2 linked regions of the Sus scrofa genome follow. The protein of the gene in region 2 interacts with the protein of the main gene of each other region in a biochemical or structural test. Links are inferred from orthologs where the notes say so. Each region holds a gene or a part of one and is shown on either strand. Other genes may lie near its edges.

Region 1 (4,624 bases), on a different chromosome or scaffold from region 2:
ATGCAGCTCCAACTAAGGGCAGAACTGGTACTAGAAGTCTGCAAGCACTGCCTCTACTTGTTTACTGCATATCACTTTTAAAATACATATAATAGGAAATGTATACATATATTGTAATTAATAGCAACTTTGACATTGATTATTTGCTTGGAGAATTGTTTTGCTGTTAATGAAACAAACTATGCCTTGCCCTTTAAGATCCCTGAAGGAGGGAATTGTGCTTCTAAATTTGCCCTCTAGAACAACAACCATGGTAATAGTCAATGCCATATTCATAATCAAAGAGCCAATCAACCCTCATTGTTCCAGAAATTTTTCTATAGATTCCAGCGTTTGTTAAAGAAGCTTGACTTACTATAATGCACATGTAAACGTAGTACTTTCCAACAAATATGAAAGCCTAACAAAATTAAATAAATTCATTATTTTCTCTATTCCTTTGATTTCATACCTCTTCTATTTTCAAACACTTCGCCACTCAAACATCTTAACTCCAATTCCTACGGCCCATTACTATGAAACCTTGGGTAAATAAGGTACCTAATCTCTCAGTTATTTATTATCTTCATATGCAAAAGAGTGATAGTTAACAGCCCTCTTAAATGTTGAAAATTTTAAGTGACATAATGCATTCTAAAGTATTTACAACAGCCGGTGACATACTAATTTCTTGATACAAATTGTTTTTACTGTTGTGGCTGTTGCTGTTTTCTAGTCCATTTCTGCTTCCTTTCAAAACATGGAAAATACATGGGAATCAAATAACTAGCATTTCTTTCTGAAGCATAAATCAACTTGCTTGCCCTTGAGTGGACAGATGGTTCAATCTCAAGTGATTCCACTCTGGTATTACAGTGGGACTTCACATGACCTTTGGAGCTGGATGCATCTAACGTGTTTTTCAATAAGTAATAAAGCTCACCATATTATCTGTATGTTTTCTACTAACTGCTATTCACATTCAGGTTTAGGTGTCAGAATCTCGGACATGTTATTCTTAAATCTTCAGCTTACTTCAAGTCATTTCGAAATAGTGGAATAAAAAAGGCCTGGAATCAAAATATGACTCAACCACATACTAGCTATGTGATCTTCAGTAAACTAAACTCTCTAAGCCTCAGTTTCAGCGTCTGTAAAGTGGTGAAAATATGTACACTTCACAGAATTGTTCTATGAATTACAAGAAATTACATTATCACTTGGCACAGTGCCCAACAAATAAGTGCATAATAAATTATAGTCATTATTATTACTATTGCCAGAAAACACATGTAGTACAGCAATACTTCTCATATGGAACACATTTCTAACTTCTTATAAAGGACCTATTTCATAATTTTAAAACTGGAAAATAAAATTAGTTTGCATTTTAACTGAAATTGTATTGTTCTCATTTTCTCCAGTATAAAAAATAAAGCAAAATAATCTGAAGACTCTTCATTAAAAATAACTTCGTAGGCCTTTAACAGCAAAGGAAGTTTACTTTTATGTTTATCAAGTTCCAAACTTAAGTAGAAACTATTCAGTCACCATCAACACCACCACTACAACGCATTTTACTATTCAACTTGAGATTAAAAGTGTCTATTCTAGAACACTAACTTCCAAATATCCTAACTGAAAGACAATTCTGAAATATCCCAAACCACATTTATCACTCAAAACTAAAATCACTGAAAAGAAATACAGCTCTAAAAGCACTTTTATTATATAATGATTAAGTTCTAGTCTTCATGGTAAGTCAATGTTCATTCTGAATTAAATACTACAAAAAATGACTCTTTGATTAAAAGATTTCTGTAATAAATCATACCTGTAGTAAGCCATATAATTTCTTCCTTTTCTTACATTTTTTCAAGTTAATAATATATATAAACACTAAGTTTTTAACAGCATTGGGCTGATCCCAGTAGATGACAGAGAAAACTTGAAATTCTAATTTCAAAAGCGTCACTCGTTTTTTAAAAAATGTGTTCCAAAAAAAAGGAGAAAATTGTTCAAAATCGACTTCGTTCTAAAATGAAGATATGAGAGTCGATGAGAACAAGAGATTAGCATTCCCTGCCAGTTTGAACATATGCCTGAAACCAAGCTTACTCACATCCATACAAACTGCTGTTGAATTTTGTGACGACAATTTTGCCAATGGTGACACCCAGGCCACAGGGAAAAGAGAAAACAATCGACACTAGGTGCCACAAAACAGAAGCCTACTGGGAAAAGCGGAACGTGGAAAATTCTGTGACTCAGATTTTACTTAGTACAGTGAGAGCACCATCAGCAAAACTGAGTTCGCTAATCCCAGCTCTCTCTCAAATCCCATACGCAGTGTTCAAGAATTAAAACTACTGTTGTTTTAATTCTTGTTCTTCCCCTTCTGCCTCGTCCATGACACACACGAAACCTCGCCCTTCCCTCCACCCCTTACACCGCCCACCGTCGCTCAAATAAGGACAACAGAGGTACAGAGGCTTCTCTAAGTAGCTAGCGCACAATCCACGCCCACAAGGATGGGCCGAGCAGCATGACACTGACAGTTTTCGGTCCCTCACGATCTTTCCAACTCTCGGCACCGCCGCACAACTCAGAAAAAGACCACATGGGTAAGAACCCACTCAAAGCAATAGCTTAGTGTAAAACCTTCTGACCTTTCTCTCAAACACAGAAGTGGGCCAAAGAGTCAATGCTCAGCTCGTCCCAGTCACCGCCCCACCCAACCCCGAAATCTCCGAGAAAAGGCTGGGGAACCAATTCCCCATTGGGAGACAGAAAGGGGTCTCCAGCACTCCAGGGCCACCCTTGCCACTGTGCTGGGACAATAAGGGGATCCGGCGGCGAGACTGGGTGAACGAGCAGCCGGGCAGGAGTTCGACTAGCCGCCGCCACAGAGCTCCTAGGCCACTCCGCGTGGGGCGGAGGCGCCTGGGAGAAGCAAGCGTGGGGACCAGCAGAGTATTTCCCAGGAAAAAGCTCAGAGCGCCTCCCCACTGCCGAACTCTCCCACCGGCCTTCATTTTGAGCCCTCTACCTTCAACAAGAAGCGGGCAAAGCCCGGCGCTAGCGTCCACCTCTGCCACCTTCGGCCGCCACCACGGAGCTCGCCTCCAGAGCAGGCAGCAGCCACCCCTGACAGAGCTGGAGGCCCGGCCAACACCTTCCCATCAAACCCCGCGCTCCCGCCGCCGGCCAATCGGAGCCGCGGCCAGCGCGCGCCGCTCCCCCGTCACGTGATCGTGACCGGGCGGGCAGTTGGGGGCGCGGCGGACAGTTGGCCCCAGGGCAGTTGTCCCTGTGGTTTCCGTGGCCAAGTAGGGTGCTCATCGTCGCATCTCAGAGGTGGATTGCCATTTATTATGACTCTTACCAAAGGGGTTACTTCTTGCTCCTCCTCTGCTTCGTTTTCTTTTACAGCCTGTTCTGCCAAGTCTCACCGGCTAAAGAAAACCCCAAAATTAGTCCTGATGGTCCTAGACCGAGAGATAGAAGAGCGGGCTTGGGGGTGGAGATGAGTCCGCCCCGAAGAGTCACCAATCAGCTGTCGTCCAGCCGCCAGAAGAGCAAGTTAATACTACACAGCTTGGAAGAGACCAGTTCCCAAACATGCCAGCGGAGAAATTCAGCCTAGACTCCAGGAGTGCTTGAGGCTTTTATGACTTCTGGACGTCAAAAAGGGTCTTTTGTGACTGGATGCTTACCTCACCAGTGTGTGGTTAGCGTCAAAGGCACAATGATATTGATTTAAAGCCTGTGGATAACAACATAAGCTGATTTTTCTATCTTAAAACTCTTAGCCAAGAACACTCCTGTCACAGGTGCTGGTACTAGGCCCGCAAATAAACCACCCAGGTTTTATTTGCCTCAGTTTTAAAACAGTGGCTAAAAAGCATTAAATTTCCTAGTCAACTGGGAATGACAGGTCTAAATAACAAATGGTACTTGAACCGCACTAAGTTGTGTGGGCGTAGAGAAACTTCAGCAAAAGCTTTTGTCATGTTTAACCCCTGTGTACAGATATTTTTCATGGGATTTTTCTATTTAGTTACATACACATTTTAAAATAATTTTTAAAGTGTCCATTATTTTTAAAGAGTATAATCATTTTAATATGCTATGTTTAAACCTTGACACCAAACAGGTTAAGTAAAAGAAAGTGAGCATAGTATCTACTTGGTAAGAATAATTTATTATACTGGAAGCTATCAGATGACTCACTGTGGAGTTCCTTAACTGCTAAAATCTTTAGTTCCAGCCTTGTAAATGTGAGGGGAAGGGAACCAAAGTTTCTTCTTGTGTAATCTGGGTCACTTTACAAATCTAAAAGAAAATGAGAAGAAAACATTTTATCTATTTTGGCATGAAAATTTAACCATTTTGTTTTTCATCCTTTGCAATTCAAAGTTTTGTTTGTTTAAAAAAAGGCCTGTGCAGTTATGCAAATACATCTCCCCACCTCAGGATGATCTCTTCCTAAGAGAATAAGGAATTATTTTCTACTCGCTAATAATTTGTTTTGTAGTTTTAATTGAACTGTCAAGATCTAATGTAAATGGGACAAAAATAGAAGGGGAGAAGAGCTAGCTGGGTGCAATAGATTCCAAAAAACCTATTCCTGAGACAAAAATTC
Region 2 (4,517 bases):
TAAGTAAACCCAGGAGCTGACAACTGTGTTTTCCTCCATGCTAGACATTGTTCTAAGCACATTATAGGAAATTTTTTCCACTAACTGTCACGATAAGCATAGGCTCCTGTGTATTACTTCCCAGTTTCCTTCCCTAACTGAAAGACAGGGAACTAAGGCACAGTCAAGAGGCAGATCTGATCCAGAGTCTGCCCATTTAACCGCCACTCTGTTTAAATTCACTGTCATGTCACATTTCTACTATTTTATTCAGCGAAGTGAGGCAACTACAAGGTGATGTGTGTGGGCTCCACTTGTGAGGAGATAACTTACCACTTACCTCACTGGTGAACATGGCGCAGAAGTAATCACTACAGGCAGCCAGCACAATCCGATGGGCAGGGAAGTCTTTCTGTTCTACTCTCAATGTCACATCACAGAGGGTATTGCTCTTCCTGAGGGAGTTCATTGAGTTGAGGATGGATTTAGCATGAGTGTTTGTCATTATGTCTTTGGGGGCCATAATGCCTCCCATCAAGCAATATGGAGAAAGGATGAAAGGGGTCCTTGGATGCTGCAACTACAAGAGAAAAGAAAAACAAGGACCATATTTGAAGGAATTGGGAAGCTAAACATACTGTTAGCTCTACAAATTAAGGAGGCTCCATCAGACTCAAAAATCTTCAAGTAGGGAGCTCTCCTATTCCTGGCATTACGAATACAATTTAGCCACTAACTATAAATAAAAACTAAAATAAATATAATAAAAAATAATAATAATTATAAATAAATAAATAACAAATAATAATATAAAAACTAAAATAAAACTAAATAAAAATGATCTCTTCTTCCTCTGAATTCCATAATCATCAAGTGCCCCAACCATTTGACAAATACTATGATCAATACAACTGCATTATAAGTGGAAAAAAACCCTACATTTCCTGCATATCTTCACAAGGCTGTTGTCTCACGTGACAAAATGAAAAGACAGAATTTCTTAAGGGTGTGATATCATTGTTTTTAATATCCTCAAGTAGATTAAGTAGGTAAATATTTATAGGGTGGGGATTCTGATTTATATATTTTTTTCTTTCCCAGAAAATGTACAATAAATGTTTAGTAATAGAGTGCAAGAAAAGAAAAACTGTGTATTCAACCTAGAGCAATAAAGATCAAGTATTAGTGAAAATAAACTTTTTTCTAAAATAATGCAAATAATTATTTTTGATGACTTTCAAATATATCCGGATTTCTTCAAAAAGTGAAACTTCAAGTGAGGACCCGATACCTATACTGAACAGTGGAATCCATGCACACTTATCTGTGGACTTCCACTAAAGCTACTGAAGCTCTTCTACAGAAGGGGCTTCCCACTCTACATTAGTTGCAAAGGTTCAGCAAAATTAACAAATCGGTATTTGTATTTCTATACTGAAAGAGTGACTTACTAGGATAGGACCTCTGCTACTAATTTCACTGCCATAGCCAGTCACTTGTAAAGTTCACCTGCACATACCAATTAAATGAACTAAATAACAGATTACATCTTAACAAATCAATATAAGAAGTACTTTCCTGATTGACAGGCTTTGGTCACACTAATTTTTTTTGCTTCAAAAACAGTTTCTGTAGAATGAATGGGGTGGTTATTAAGAAAGCCTATCTTATGTAGGCTCCAGAACTTTCTGAAATGATCCAAGGAAAAAAAAAAAAAACAACTGGTTTTCAAGAGTCCACAACTCACAACCATAATTTGATATGAAAGCAAAAACGAGATCCTAATTTCTCATCTACTCCTGTTCATAGTTAGCATATTATTCTATAGGCACTCTATGTTATCCGTCCAACAACTCCGCAAGATCCATTTTACAGCAAAGCATACGATGTTTTTCAAAAAGGTCGTCCTTGAGTCAATGCAGTTTCAACTCCGGAGATGTGAGAAAGGTCTGCACAGACGCCCGTTTACCGTGAAGACCTTCGGGGTGGGGAGGGGATGTTACGACAGGGCTCACCTGTCAAACGGACTCGACCCCAACGCGGCGCGGTCTCTCTGCCGGGGTACGCAGGGTGCGCCCCGATCCAGGGTTGACCTAGCCCGGGCTCCAGCGAGTTCCCTAGAGGAGAGGCTGCGCCGCGGGCTGGGTCAGATTCGGGGCGGGGGAGGGGGGCTTGCAGGCTGGAGAGCAAAGCGGAGTCCTCCCCGACAGCTTCAGGTGGAGGGCGAGGCGCTCGTCGCCAGGACACCGCCCGGCTGGGAGAGGCCGACCGGGAGAAAGGGGACGGAAAGGCGCTAGCCGCTGCCTCCGGGCCACTCACCTGCGCTCTGGCCCGCGGGGTGGGCGCGGGGCTAGCGGGCGGCTCGGGAGGAGCCCAAGCACCGCCGCCCCGACCCGAGGCCGTCCCCACCGTCGCCGCGCGCAGTGATGACGTCACGACCACCCAGCGTCACGTGAGGGGCCGCGTCACGTGACCCGCAGGTGTGCGGGGCTAGCTCCAGAGAACACGGCGGTGCAGGTCCCCACCCGGTGACTGGTCCAGATGCTCCGCAGGTCCCCAGGCGCGGTGGACTGAGAGGATTCCAGAGTTTTCGAAGCTAGAGAACTGACTGCAGAGAGTGTTTACCTGACAGGTATTCAGGAACCCTCTCACATCAAGAAAACTCACGGAGGCTTCCAGTGTCTTCATGTCCATTTTCCACAATGGCCTTTTCGAGCTGTGATGAGAATCCTCTGAGCCCTGCGACCCTGGGACCTCAGCATTCTCTGCATCACAATCGGGCCTCAACACCCCTGGGTGTTCTCTGCTTCTTGCACTTCAGGACAGTTTAGTGGAAGGAACTCACGGCCCCTCCGAGGGAGATTCCGAAGGGTCTTCTTGCAAGTCCCAGGAATCCTCATCTCCCCTATTCCGATTCTGCTGCCTTTCACAAATCTCGGAGGCTGAGTGTTGTGCTAGTATTTTTGCTTCTGTTTGATTTTGGTACACTTATCTCAGTGGCTCAGAAGGGAATGAGGTTCCTTGATTCAGTTCATGCGAATGTCCAAACCAATTGTGTTTGATTGTATTGTTTTCCTTTTGAGGGGGGCTTGATTCTTTAGGGATATTAAAACTGTAGCTAAGTGGGTAGCAATCTAATTTTACAGTAGTGTCTCCATCTTTCATATCCTATCTCTGGTCTAAAATTGTCTCTGATTTGTATATTGTGAGTGCAGGATTGGTACAAGTTTTATTGGGGGCATCTTGGAAAAATTCACCAAAATGATGAATGCATATATATATATTCCTTAACAATGATCTTTAGAAATTTGGAGTTCCCGTCGCGGCTCAGTGGTTAACGAATCCGACTAGGAACCATGAGGTTGCGGGTTCCATCCCTGGCCTTGCTCAGTGGGTTAAGGATCCGGCGTTGCCGTGAGCTGTGATGTAGGTTGCAGACACGGCTCGGATCCCGCGTTGCTGGGGCTCTGGTGTAGGCCGGTGGCTACAGCTCCGATTGGACCCCTAGCCTGGGAACCTCCATATGCCGTGGTAGCAGCCCAAGAAACGGCAAAAAGACAAAACAAACAAACAACAAAAAAAAACAATGATCTTTAGAAATCTATCCTTTGTATATACTCACACATGTAAAATGATGTGTGTGCAAGGTTGTTTGTAGATTGGATTGAAAACAAGGGTTTTTTTGGGCCTTGCCTGTGGCAGGTGGAAATTTCTGGGTGGGGAATCTAATCTGTGCCCCAGCAGCCACAGTAGTGACTACGTGGCATCCTTAACCCACTGCACCACACTTAAGGAACTCCTGGATTGAAAACAAGGAGTTCCCATTATGGCTCAGCTAGTTAAGAACCCGACATAATCTCCATGAAGATGCAGGTTTGATCCCTGGCCTCTATTAGTGGGTTAAGGATCCAGTGTTGCTGCAAGCTGCAGCGAAGGTCGCAGGTATAGGTTGCAGATGCGGCTCAGATCCGGTGTTGCTGTGGCTGTTGCATAGGCCTGCAGCTGCAACTCCCATTTGACCCCTAGCCTGGGAACTTCCGTATGCCACAGGTGTGGCCCTAAAAAAAAAAAAAAAGAAAAGAAAAAGTTTAATGCCCATCTGTAGGGGACTGGTTCACTAACATATGGCACATCCATACAACCCAATACCATGAAGTTGTGAACAGTGTGTATACTTTGCTATTAATTGTGAAAAAGTTTGGGAAATATAGTCATATTTGCTTGCATGTGTATAAAATGCATTTTATAGATACAAAATAAAGCAGTAACATCACTTTCTTGGAGAGAGTAACTGGTGAGTTGGGAGACAGGATGGGAGGGAGATTTTTCCCTTTATGTATTTTTAGGCCTTTTGAACTTTGTTTTTTTTTGTTTGCTTGTTTGCTTTTTAGGGCCACACCCTCAGCACGTGGAAGTTCCCAAGCTAGGGGCTAGAACTGGAGCTGTAGCTGCCAGCCTGCACTACAGCAGAGCAATGCTGGATCTTTAACGCAATGAGCAAGGCCATGTATTGAATCTGTGTCCTCTTGGATGCTAGT

What was found.
Region 1: the proteins of KLHL12 (region 2) and LNPK form a complex in vitro, tested with the Homo sapiens proteins (2 studies listed by BioGRID, with this or other methods). The link is inferred for Sus scrofa from reciprocal best matches to the Homo sapiens genes KLHL12 and LNPK.

Annotation. Positions count from the first base shown.
Region 1 is NC_010457.5:81,802,529-81,807,152, forward strand, and holds the start of LNPK (protein lunapark), read right to left. Parts: upstream 3,177-4,624; 5' UTR 3,029-3,176; intron 2,604-3,028; exon of another isoform or gene 2,379-2,603; intron 1-2,378. UniProt on the Homo sapiens protein: Endoplasmic reticulum (ER)-shaping membrane protein that plays a role in determining ER morphology. Involved in the stabilization of nascent three-way ER tubular junctions within the ER network.
Region 2 is NC_010452.4:24,899,708-24,904,224, forward strand, and holds the start of KLHL12 (kelch-like protein 12), read right to left. Parts: upstream 3,275-4,517; 5' UTR 2,674-3,274; coding exon 2,605-2,673; intron 2,415-2,604; exon of another isoform or gene 1,995-2,414; intron 560-1,994; coding exon 320-559; intron 1-319. UniProt on the Homo sapiens protein: Substrate-specific adapter of a BCR (BTB-CUL3-RBX1) E3 ubiquitin ligase complex that acts as a negative regulator of Wnt signaling pathway and ER-Golgi transport.